3 linked regions of the Macaca mulatta genome follow. The protein of the gene in region 1 purifies or fractionates together with the protein of each later gene. This does not show direct contact. Links are inferred from orthologs where the notes say so. Each region holds a gene or a part of one and is shown in the gene's direction. Other genes may lie near its edges.

What was found.
Region 2: the proteins of PSMD14 (region 1) and PSME4 purify together in Homo sapiens (affinity purification with mass spectrometry, with the first as the bait; 3 studies listed by BioGRID). This does not show direct contact. The link is inferred for Macaca mulatta from reciprocal best matches to the Homo sapiens genes PSMD14 and PSME4.
Region 3: the proteins of PSMD14 (region 1) and SNAI1 purify together in Homo sapiens (affinity purification with western blotting; 3 studies listed by BioGRID, with this or other methods). This does not show direct contact. The link is inferred for Macaca mulatta from reciprocal best matches to the Homo sapiens genes PSMD14 and SNAI1.

The regions. Positions count from the first base shown.
Region 1 is NC_133417.1:66,182,950-66,186,449, forward strand, and holds part of PSMD14 (26S proteasome non-ATPase regulatory subunit 14), read left to right. Parts: intron 1-350; coding exon 351-421; intron 422-1,415; coding exon 1,416-1,566; intron 1,567-3,500.
Region 2 is NC_133418.1:70,690,816-70,695,035, forward strand, and holds the start of PSME4 (proteasome activator complex subunit 4), read left to right. Parts: upstream 1-1,420; 5' UTR 1,421-1,652; coding exon 1,653-1,894; intron 1,895-4,220. UniProt on the Homo sapiens protein: Associated component of the proteasome that specifically recognizes acetylated histones and promotes ATP- and ubiquitin-independent degradation of core histones during spermatogenesis and DNA damage response.
Region 3 is NC_133415.1:102,822,936-102,827,100, forward strand, and holds the start of SNAI1 (zinc finger protein SNAI1), read left to right. Parts: upstream 1-1,365; 5' UTR 1,366-1,838; coding exon 1,839-1,920; intron 1,921-2,611; coding exon 2,612-3,139; intron 3,140-4,165. UniProt on the Homo sapiens protein: Involved in induction of the epithelial to mesenchymal transition (EMT), formation and maintenance of embryonic mesoderm, growth arrest, survival and cell migration.

The DNA.
Region 1 (3,500 bases):
GTTATGATAAGATGGCATTAGGAAGCATGCTTGCCTAGATAGGTCTAACCAATAGCTCTGGTTGATTCAATTGTTTTCGTATTTCTGGTAAACATATACATAGCAATGGCCATTATATTCTTAAGAATCCTGAAAGTTGGCTTAACTCATTAGCCAACAGCAGTTTGTTAGTTGGCAATTTTAGAAGCTTGATTGGTGTGAGGTTTATAATTGAATGACTTGAGTAGGTATCAAATGTAGGTATCAAAACCTATAAAATGATTTTGGCAACCCCAAATAATATACATAGGGAAGCTTTTTTTTTTTCCAAATTTACAAAAATTAATAATTTTTATTTCTTTCTAAATCAGGGTGTAAGTGTGGAGGCAGTTGATCCAGTGTTCCAAGCTAAAATGTTGGATATGTTGAAGCAGACAGGAAGGTAAGCATTTTAAGTGATCAGCTAAAGAAATAATGGGAAATATTTATAGAGACATACCTCAAAGTTATAGATGTTTATCAGTATCATTTCTAGAAAAAGAGGTCACATAGTTGACATAAAAGTATCTGTAAATATCGGTGCCATGCACCGCCTGTCTAGTATGTCTTCCCTTTAGAACCAAAGAAATTTGCCCATCAGAGAACTGCCTCATGTTAAAATTCTTGACTGTCACATAGTAAGCTTGGGCTGTAGCTTCCCTCTGTTTAGCATATGGAGTTACTGTCTAGTCACTTATAATTGAAAGAGCTTGTATGTTCCATGTATTTGAGAGCTGCAACTGAATGAGATTATGAATATTTAATTATGTTTGTAGGCATAGTTTTAAAGACAGAGAAAGTATAATCCAAATATTCTGAAGTTTTTTTCCTCAGACCAAATCTCTCAAAGTTGCCATTCTCTTGCTCAAATTCTTCTACTGTGGAAAAAACTTCAAAATTTATGTTAGCAAAAGGCTCAGCAGCTGAGCAGAACAGTGCAAATTGGTTTTTGACTGAGTTCCTAGTTCTACTGCTGGTTTAATTGATATTTAATCCTTTCACAACAGTGGATCCTGGTGTCCATTGTTAAAAATGTACTCTGTGCCTGGAAAATCCAACTCCCAGAGCTAAGGAGTTAAAGAGTAGATATTTACTTGAATGCTGAAAGGGTAAAAACTGGCTCTGAGAAACTGTGGTAACAAGGTGAAAAACTGAAAGCCTTATCTACCACTGCTAATGTGCATCTCTTAATGATAGTACTCCTTTGTCACACATATTCATTTCCATGTTTTCTGGATAATATGGTGTACAATTTCAGGGTTTCTAATGGTGCTTTTTCACACCTGTGTGTTTTTCATCTCTTCTTAATTTATACCCCGTTAGTGTGTTGTTTCTTTTCATATCATAAATGTATTACTTGTTCTGTTCTGAGCATCTGAATGCCCTCTTTGTTTCAGGCCGGAGATGGTTGTTGGTTGGTATCACAGTCACCCTGGCTTTGGTTGTTGGCTTTCTGGTGTGGATATCAACACTCAGCAGAGCTTTGAAGCCTTGTCGGAGAGAGCTGTGGCAGTGGTTGTGGATCCCATTCAGAGTGTAAAAGGAAAGGTAGAGTAGATTCTATCTTTATTGCCATCTACTGCCACATTCTGTTTACAGATACATTAAATAAAAATCCATTTTGTTCAAAGCAGGATTCTTAATTATACAGAAAGCTGCTATCTGTTTACTTAAAAAACAAACAAACAAAAAAACTTTACAAGTTGATAACTGTGTCTTGGTATTATTAGCAATTTATTTAGAGATTTCTTCTTTAATCACTTGTGTAATTGTCATGAATATTTATCTTTAAATTTTTTGAATTTCATAAAATTAGCAAAGTTAAACCATACTCAAAGCCTGCTATAAACATTTTATTAATATTTAAATAAACATTGCTTTACCTTTATTTTCAAATGATGAATTTGGAATTGGCAGAACATTTTAAAAATCTATTTAAAGGGCATTGTTTTGCAGACATTGTGCAGAACATATTCTGGAGGTGTGTTTTCCAAATATTTTAGACAATGAAAACTTGCCCAAAGACTTGGTATCAACCATTCACGTTTTTGGAGTGAGGATGCAAATGAATGATTAAATATGCTAAATAATTCTGAAAACAGATTAACTTGGAAAGCATATTGTGTTATAGTTCTTTGTTGAAACCCCTTTTGTTCTTGTTTAGTTCTTTCTCTTTTTTTGTTCATTCTTTCTTTTTTTTTTTTTTTTTTTTTTTTATTTCTTTCTTTCTAGCCCCATATGCCATTTTCCTATTTCCTGCCTCATGACAGCAGGGAGCAGCTCTATTATCACCTTCACAGAGCTGTCTGCAAATGTGAGAGGCAATTCGATTTTGCTCAACCACAGGGAGAGTGGATTAGAAAAACTACAGAACATACAGAAATTGGCTAGGTGGTTACTGCTTTAAAATACTGCTGAGGTGTCTTGTTTGAGCATGTACTTCCATTGTAGTGTAGAATAATTGTTAAAATAAAATCACAATATATTTATGCAATCCTTTTTATGCAGGTTTTACAAATAATTTTTAGAGCACTTAGAAATAAATATTAGCTTGTTATCTATCAGACCTGGAGTTTGATAGTAGTGCAGATTACATTTATATCTGCTCACCAGCTCAAACAAACTAAACATGGCTATTAAAACATGGAGTTTTTATGTGTCATAAATTTGAAGTTGAATGTTTTCTGACATCATACCATTATCATGTATAAAAATTGAGGTCTTCTCTAAATCATCATCTTATTTGGTGTGATTTAGCTTTTCAGAGGCAAAAACTATCCACAAAAACAATAATAGAAACTGATATACTAGACCATTCAGAATGGATAGCTTCTGATTCTTACTATATGCCTATATTTCAATTTATTTACTTTTTTTTAACTAAATGGGTTAGATAAAAGAGGTTGAAAAATCCTTGATTGTTATTGGCTTTATGAATTACAGTATAATATCTCTTAAGTTTAATTCTGTATTTTAAGGTACCTTTTTAGTAACTCGGAAGTAATTTCATTTAAGTAATGATTACTGTTTTACAGATATAACAATTATCTAACAAAGTCCCCTACCACAATATTTACAAGTAATAATTAAAGCTTAATTTTAAATATAATTAGAATTCTGTTTCGTAGTAATTAGCTTAACTTAGGTTTTATGATATCTTGACTCGTGATGGTGGCTACTTTGAAAAAGGAAAGTAAAAACAAACACAATGAAAGAAAGCATTCTCAAAATACAGTAAATAAATGTAAATGTAAATAAATGAGTATGTATTTTATTTTTGGTTATCCTTTTGTAATGTTTAAAATGGCAATTTTAGTTTCCAAACCTAGTTTACGTGTTGTATAATATTGGAATTTTCATTATTTCTAATTAATTGTAATTTATATTAAAATGATGAATTTCATTTAATAATATGCATTCATCACATGTCTTAACAATGTTAAATTTAGTTTTTAAAAATAATATATCTAAAATTTATGAAG
Region 2 (4,220 bases), on another chromosome or scaffold:
CAATTTCAACTGACATCCAGGCCATAATTATGTCACACCTTAAGGGGTCCTCCAGTTCCCAATCTTGTCAGTTGCAACCAATTTTCCAGACGAAGCCAGAGAGCCGGAGTGAATTTTTTTTTTTTTTTGAGACGGAATTGCGCTCTTTTTGCCCAGGGTGGAGTGCCCTGGCGCGATCTCGGCTCGCTGCAACCACTGCCTTCCGGTTTCAAGCGATTCTCCTACCTCAGCCTCCCGAGAAGCTGGGATTACAGGCGTCCGCCACCATGCCCGGCTAATTTTTTTGTATTTTTAGTAGAGACGGGGTTTCACCATGTTGGCCAGGCTGGTCTCGAACTCCTGACCTGGTGATCCGCCCGCCTCGGCCTGCCAAAAGTGCTGGAATTACAGGCGTGAGCCACCGCGCCCGGCCGCCAGAGTGATTCTTTAAAAATGTAAATTATATCATCCCACTGCTATGCTTAAAATCTTTTGGAAGTTTGTCTCTAGGATAAAGTTCTGAATTCCTTAGGATTTCCTTCTCAGTCTCATTTCTCCGTCCCCTCTCTTACGCTATTTTGAAATTTGAATTTTTAGAATACATGCTTGCAGCCTCAAGAGCTGTTCTCTCAGCTAAATACGTGTTCTCCTCCCTCCTTTTTCTAATCAACTTTGCACTCAACCCTTACAGCTTAATTTAAGTATCACTTCTAGGAAACTGACACCCTCTCAACCCCCTAGTTTGAACTTCTCTGTAGAGTTTCTAAGGCTTCCTGTACTTATCTAGCAATTAAGAGCATTATCTTGTAATTCACGTCTTTATCTCTGCTAGACTAAGTCCTTGGGAGGGCGGAAACCAGGGTAAACTTTCCATCTCAATAGCCTAAACGGAGTGCCTTACACACGAAACAGTCGTTCAATTAGCATTTATTCAGTGAGTTAACGATTTTCTTCCTTGGAATGATGGCGGCCAGAATACCAGAAAGATGGGGACTAAAAGGGGACAGAATAATTAAATCTATAAGGAACAAGCGGGAAGGAGTAAATAAATCTATAAGGAGCAAGTGGGTACGTAGGCTTTTCCATAAATCCCTGTAACCTAAAAGCCGGGGCTGCTCGGCTAGGGGGACCAGGCCGACCTGGCGAACCTGTCGCCGCGACTGGGGCTCCGGTGGGCGCCGCCTGGAGTGCGCGACCCCCGGCGAAGCAGGACAATAGCTTGGAATTCGGCCTCGTGTTTCCGGTGAGGCAGCCTCGCGCTGGGCCGGTGAGGCCCGGGGTGGGGGCTCCGAGCCGGGCCCACGGCAAGGAAGGCGCGGCCCGCTGGGCTCCAGCTGCCGCCACCACCGCCTCCCCCGACGCCGTCGCTCCGCCCCGCCCCGCCCCGGAAGTGACTTGAGACCGGTCCGGAACCTCTGAGCCCGGCGGCTGCAGCGTCACCAGCCGAGCCGGTGCGGGGCGGGCAGAGCGGCCGCTGCCGCCGCCAACGAACCGGGAACCGCGCGGGGCCCAGCAGCACGCCGGCCAGGGAAGGGGGCCTAGCGATCGGTCAGAGGGCGACGGGCCGCCGGCGGCCGCAGGGCGACGAAGACGCGGAGGAGGCGGAGCCCGGAGAGGGGTGGGGGTCGGGGAGGGTTAGGGTGGGAGGGGGTAGGGGGGGTGTCCCTGGGCTCATGGAGCTGGCCGAACGGGCGAGAGTCGGAGAGCCCCCGGAGCCGGGCGGGCGTTCCGAGCCGGGCCCGCGGGGCTTCGTCCCGCAGAAAGAGATCGTCTACAACAAGCTGCTGCCCTACGCCGAGCGGCTAGACGCCGAGTCCGACTTGCAGCTGGCCCAGATCAAATGCAACCTGGGCCGGGCGGTGCAGCTCCAAGAGCTGTGGCCCGGGGGCCTCTTCTGGACCAGGAAACTCTCCACGTAAGTGTGCCCGGGCCTGCAGGCCGGGCCGGGGGGAGAGGCTTAGTGAGAGGTGTCGGGGATGGGTGCTCTTTGTCCAGAGGACTGGACCCTTAGCTCTGTCCTCGCTGGAGCTGTCCCCGAGCGGTGGTCCCAGGGTCGTGACAGAGCCTGTGAAGCACTCAAGCTGTCCTCCCTGACACTTTCTTACCGGGATTCCCGGGTCCTCACCAGCCCTGCACGTCCTCTCCATCTGCTTCTCCCGAAGTGTTCGGGTTGTTGTCTTCCCACCTGGGGGGACCTGGGGAGCCCAAGGGCCCCGGCCCCGAGGGAGAGAGGTGAGCCTTTCCCAAGGGTCCTTCGTGGATCTTTGCGCATAGGAGAGGCGGGGCAGAGAGGATTTGCCTTTGGGGGAGTTCTGTGACTTCTCTCCCTGCTTCCTCCGGTTCTTCCTTCCCCTACGATCCCCGCCTCTTCACATCTCCGTTGGCGTCTAGTAACTTTCTGAATGGAAAGGAGACCATTGGGAAACTTAAGGGTTCTGCTTTTTTGGGGCCCGCTCAGACCTGGCGGAGTTGATCGAAAAGGTTGGTTTAAAGTCAGACTTCATTCTTGAGCTTAACGTCTTAGACGTTAATGTGGACAATGTTGTTTAAGATCCTAAGGATTGTGTGTTGTTCCTGTTGTGACATTTCTTTTGGAGAGGCCTTTAAGATACTGAGGAAAGTAGGGAAGAGTACTGTCAGGATGTCCACGGCGATACTCGTATCAGGCTTGTGTTAATATTTTGAGTTACTCAGATTAACATAGATTACCTGAATCAGTTTCAGGAGTTCTGTTTGTAAACTAGCTTCAAACTATAGTGTCACTGAAATTAGGAAAAAAACAAAAAACAAAGAATAAAAATACAGTGGGGGAGGAAAGGTTACATTTACCTGCTGGGTGGGCATCTTTACTGTGTCGGAAGAGCTTTTTAAGAAATAATTTTGCTGTATCTTGTTTGGTTAACTGTACATAAAATCTAGTAACATGGTATGTTCACGCATGTGGGTATGGATGGGTGAACACACAAGACCTAAGTCACTCATTCAGTGTTTACCCAAATCTACTGATTGAACTGAGTGATGACTCAGGGTTTTGTAATAGTTTTGTCCATATTTCTTCACTGGATGATTCTCGTCTGCCAATTATTAAGGAGCCTCTGACAAATTTCTCATTTCCACTTGAGGGGTGGGTGGGAACTAAAATTAAAAAGAAGCAAAACTGAAACATGTAATTTGCCCTCTTCAGAGAGTGATCATAAAATGTCAAGGTTAACAACTCTCCTCCTGACTACAGTATAAAGAAGTTTTTGGTGTTAACGATCCTTAGGAGAATGGGGGTGAGGGGCGGCAGAAGCAGGAATGCAACAGGGAGAACCACGTTTAGTCAAAAAAAGAATACTTCATAAATAGTTACAATCCAAATGCTTTTTGAAGTGAGACTCCTAGGTTTTTGTGTTACTCAGGCACAGTAAAAATAGTCACTTTGTTACAGTGATTCCCCATTTTAATCACTTGGATTAGACTTGCTGGGAGAATACCTACCATTTTTGGGGATGCAAACAGCTTTTTTTAGATATGCAGTATATACATATGCCATGGTGCGAAGGCATATCTGGTTTGGATTTATGAACCTAGAATCTACCAAGGCATACTTAAACATTGTTTTCTGAAGTATTTATTGTTATCAAGTTTGGTAAATTAGCACTCCGGGTTTTGTTATTTTGGCTTATTAGGTAAAAGTTTTTACTTAGAAAGGGCTAAAAATAACAGTGGAGCTAATGTTTGGTGTTTAGGGCTGGATTGCTGATGGCTTAATACCCATGAACCTATAACCATTTATATCTAAATAACCAACAAGAAATGCTATCGGGTAAAATTTTGTTTTGGTGTAATGGTTAAATGCTGGAAACTGATTCTTGGTATTGCACTATGAGACATTTTGAATGCAGTGGGACATGTTGTGATCTTGGGTGTGTTTTTTTCCTAAGTCATGTTAAGGTGACCTGTTTATAGTTGTGCTTGTTTTTTAAGCCTTCTGTGTTGCATAAGTGAACATCTGAATAATGCCAAAACGTGTGACGAAAGCTGAGTGGTGATCATATTTAGTACTTCGTAGAATAGAAAGTGGTAATGAAAAGAAATCTAGTTTCTCCCACTAGCCCTGAGACTGTGGGAAAGTTACTTAATCATGTGTTTCAGTATTCTTGTGCGTGAAATGAGGAGATTGGACTAAATAATTCTTTTTTTTTTTTTTTTTTTTTTTTTGAGGTGGAGTCTTGCTGTTTCCCAGGCTGGAGTGCAGT
Region 3 (4,165 bases), on another chromosome or scaffold:
GCCACGGTGGGAAAGGTCTGGGATGTTGGAGGAACAGAAGGAAGGGTGGGGGAGGGATCCTTGTTCATGGGGGAGGGAGAGAGGCTCAAGCCAAGGTCAGCCGGGGTCAGAGCAGCGGGGCCGAGTTGGCCGAGGAAAGGACTTTGGCTTTTACTCTGAGACAGGCGCATGGGAGGGTTTGAGCAGAGGAGGGGGTGCTCTGGCCTCACTCTGGCTTCCAGCAGAGGATCCTGATTGGAGCTAAATTGACACGGGAGGGAGAGTATTCCGCCTAATAACTGCTTCCTGCCTATGTCCTCCACCCTACTCCCCACTCTCCAGCTAGAAACAGGGGAAGACGATTTTGTTCACGGCTGTTACATCCGGCACCAAGTGACCAAAACAGACAGTAGTTCTGCCCTTCATGTTGCTGGTGGTGGTGTGGGGTGCTTATAGGTTTTTCTAGTCTTCCTTCACAGGTGGAAACAAGAACGGTGAGACCTGTGAGGTTTATTTCAGCGCTACTCCCGGGCCTGGTATGCCTCCCAGGGAAGCTGGGGTGGGGGTGCAGCTGCCCCTCACCTGGGCCCACCCCACATGCATTCAGTCAGGGCCCCTACAGAGCAACGTTAGAGCCTTTAGACACAGGATCGAGGATCTTCACAGGGGTGAGGAGACACGCCCGGCCCATCCCTTCTTTCTCCCGCCGGCCTACAAGGATCTTTTTCTACGAAACTCTAACCAGGTCCCTCGTCAGCTGAAAATCCTTCGGTGGCTCCCCAGTGCCTTTGAGGCAAAGTCCAACCTCCTACGAGGCCCTGGGGCACAGCACATCTGACCCTTCCGGGCCTGCCCACCCCACGCCATCCCTGAGAGCTGCTCTCTAGGAGTTACTCTGAAGCAGTTGCCACTTCTTCCCTCGGGCCTTTTCCCTTGATAATTCTTCACTTCCTCTGGGAAGTCACCCCGACCCCCTGTCAGGTGACCCGCCTCTTAACGGTCGCTGCGTCCCGTCTCTCCCCCGCCAAAGCACACTTCCCTTTGCATTGTAATTGTCTGTTTACTTCGTCTGTCTCCCCCACTGGACCGGGAGCTACCCTTCGGGAGAGGCCTTGAATGTCCTGTCCGGGGCTGTGCCCTGCCCCAGGTACAGCTGGGCCCTCCGCAAACACTGGCTAAGGGAAGGAACGGGCGCTCTTCGCTAGCTGGGCCAGGCTGCTTTGCAAAACGGCCGTAGCATTTCACGCCGCCAGGAGCCACGTGCGGTGTCCGTTTCCTCGCTTCCTCCCCAGCAATGTGCATTTCCCTCGTCAATGCCACGCTCTCCAGGCGCCAGCCGGGCGGAGGAAATTTCCGCCCCCTCCTAAGCCCGAGGCGGGGGCGGGCGTCGGAAGGTCAGGTGTCCCGGCCCGCGCGCAGCGCCAGGGGGCGTCAGAAGCGCTCCGACCACGGGGCGCTGAGCAGGTGGGCGCGCGGCGTTCTGGCGGGGTCCCACCTCGCAGGGGCCTCGCTTCGCTCGACGTCCCGCCCCGGACAGTCCGAGCACCACGGACGACCCGCGCTGCGCCTGCGAACTCCGCCTCGGAGGAGCCCCCGCCCGGGCTCCCAGCGCCACGCGGCGCGAGCCCGGCCAGCCCCCGGCGCACCTGCTCGGGGAGTGGCCTTCGGCGGAGACGGGCCTCCGATTGGCGCGGAGGTGACAAAGGGGCGTGGCAGATGAGGCCCCTCCCCTCCCACCCCCTTGGAGTATTTAAGGGAGTTGGCGGCGCGGCTGCTCTCATTGCGCCGCGGTCCGGCCTTGTGAGTGGTACGTTTGCGCTGCTCCTGCGCGACTCGGCGACCCCAGTGCCTCGGCCACCATGCCGCGCTCTTTCCTCGTCAGAAAGCCCTCCGACCCCAATCGGAAGCCTAACTACAGCGAGCTGCAGGACTCTAATCCAGGTGTGTTGGAGGGGTGGTGGGCTCCAGGAGGTTTGGGGGAGACAGGCGAAGGCTGCGTGGGGGCCACCTGAGGGAGGCGGCCTGTCTGAGCCAGGATCGAGTCACAGGGTGTTTTGTGGAGCATTGCGGGCTCGGGCTCGGGCTCGGGAGACCGGGCAGGTGGGTCCCCAGTCCTGGGGATCGGTCTGGGTGGTTGGGGGAGTGCTGTGTAGAGAGCAGGGGTTTTGTGCTTGGGTGGCCTGTGTAGCCGGCGAGAGGCGGAGGAGCTCCGCGAGAGTGGGAGAGGAGGCCTGTGTCAGGAAGGCCCTCTGGACGCTGCTGGGGAGAGTCCGGAGTCCAGAGGGTTGAGGGGAGGGGTGGGGAGACGAGATGTGTGTGAGGAGGGGGATTGGGGCAGGGTGGTGGCTCCAGGGCTGGGGTGATGGGGTTCTGGCCTCAGGCTGGGGACTTGGGACTTAGGAGAGGGAGATCTGGAAATGACCCCCTTCAACTGGGGGTCCTACCTGTGAGAGACTCAGATTGGGTGACCTGGGCCAGGAGGGCAGGAACCTGGTCTGTCCTGTGGATCATTTTTTTTATCTAATTATGTGTTGAGAATCAGCCCTACCCAGCCCCTGGCCAGCGGTGGGTTCATGTTTGTTGATTGAGTGAATGATTTAATTAACGCCTGACTCTGCTTTTTCTCTCTCAGAGTTTACCTTCCAGCAGCCCTACGACCAGGCCCACCTGCTGGCAGCCATCCCACCTCCAGAGATCCTCAATCCCACCGCCTCGCTGCCAATGCTCATCTGGGACTCTGTCCTGGCGCCCCAAGCCCAGCCAATTGCCTGGGCCTCCCTTCGGCCCCAGGAGAGTCCCAGGGCGGCAGAGCTGACCTCCCTGTCGGACGAGGACAGTGGGAAAGGCTCCCAGCCTCCCAGCCCACCCTCACCGGCTACTTCGTCCTTCTCCTCTACTTCAGCCTCTTCCTTGGAGGCTGAGGCCTATGCTGCCTTCCCAGGCTTGGGCCAAGTGCCCAAGCAGCTGGCCCAGCTCTCTGAGGCCAAGGATCTCCAGTCTCGAAAGGCCTTCAACTGCAAATACTGCAACAAGGAATACCTCAGCCTGGGTGCCCTCAAGATGCACATCCGAAGCCACACGCTGCCCTGCGTCTGCGGAACCTGCGGGAAGGCCTTCTCCAGGCCCTGGCTGCTACAAGGCCATGTCCGGACCCACACTGGTAAGTGCCCCTCCAGGCGCCCCCACCGTTGCTTTCTGTGGCAGCTTTGTGAATTGGGACTTGCTGTTCTCATTCGCAAAGTTGTGGACACTGAGGCCCCGAGTCTCCTAACTTCCAGCTCAAGTTCAGGGGCCTGCTCTCTGGAAATGTTTGGCAGAAACGTTCCTTCATCAGCTAAGCAGATGAGCAAAGCAGACACCTTCCCAATCCCTGCAGCCTGTTTCTCAGCCAAATGGGCTGGAGCTGGATATCGGAAAAGTGCAACCAACACCTTGCTCTGGGGGCCACAGGTGTGAAGGGGCCCACCCAGCCCCACCCTCTCCCGGTCCGCCCCCTCCCTAGCCAGACAGGATGTTGTCAGACCCCCCACCTGGCTCTGAATCCTTTGAGAACTTTCTCAAAGCTTAGGCTGATGTTTCACTTCTGTGAGCCTCATTTTCTCTATCTTTCAGATGGGCATGAGAACAGCTTGTGGGGTTTCTGTACGGGCTAAATGCAGGAATGCATATGGGAATCACCTGGCAAAGTGCCGGGTACCTGCTAAACTGTCACAAAAATGGTTCCTTGGCATTTGCTCTGCTTCCCTGCTGTGTGACTTTGGGCAAGCAACTTAACCTCTCTGAGACTCGGGAGAATTATGATGGCATATGTTTTAGAGAGTGGCTGTAGGCCGGGCGCGGTGGCTCAAGCCTGTAATCCCAGCACTTTGGGAGGCCGAGACGGGCGGATCACAAGGTCAGGAGATCGAGACCAGCCTGGCTAACATGGTGAAACCCCGTCTCTACTAAAAAAAATACAAAAAACTAGCCGGGTGAGGTGGCAGGCGCCTGTAGTCCCAGCTACTCGGGAGGCTGAGGCAGGAGAATGGCGTAGACCCGGGAGGCGGAGCTGAGATGCGGCCACTGCACTCCAGCCTGGGCGACAGAGTGAGACTCCGTCTCAAAAAAAAAAAAAAAAAAAAAAAGAGAGTGGCTGTAAAGGTGGCTAATCACTTTATAGTAATTTATTATACCCGAATAGTTCTCA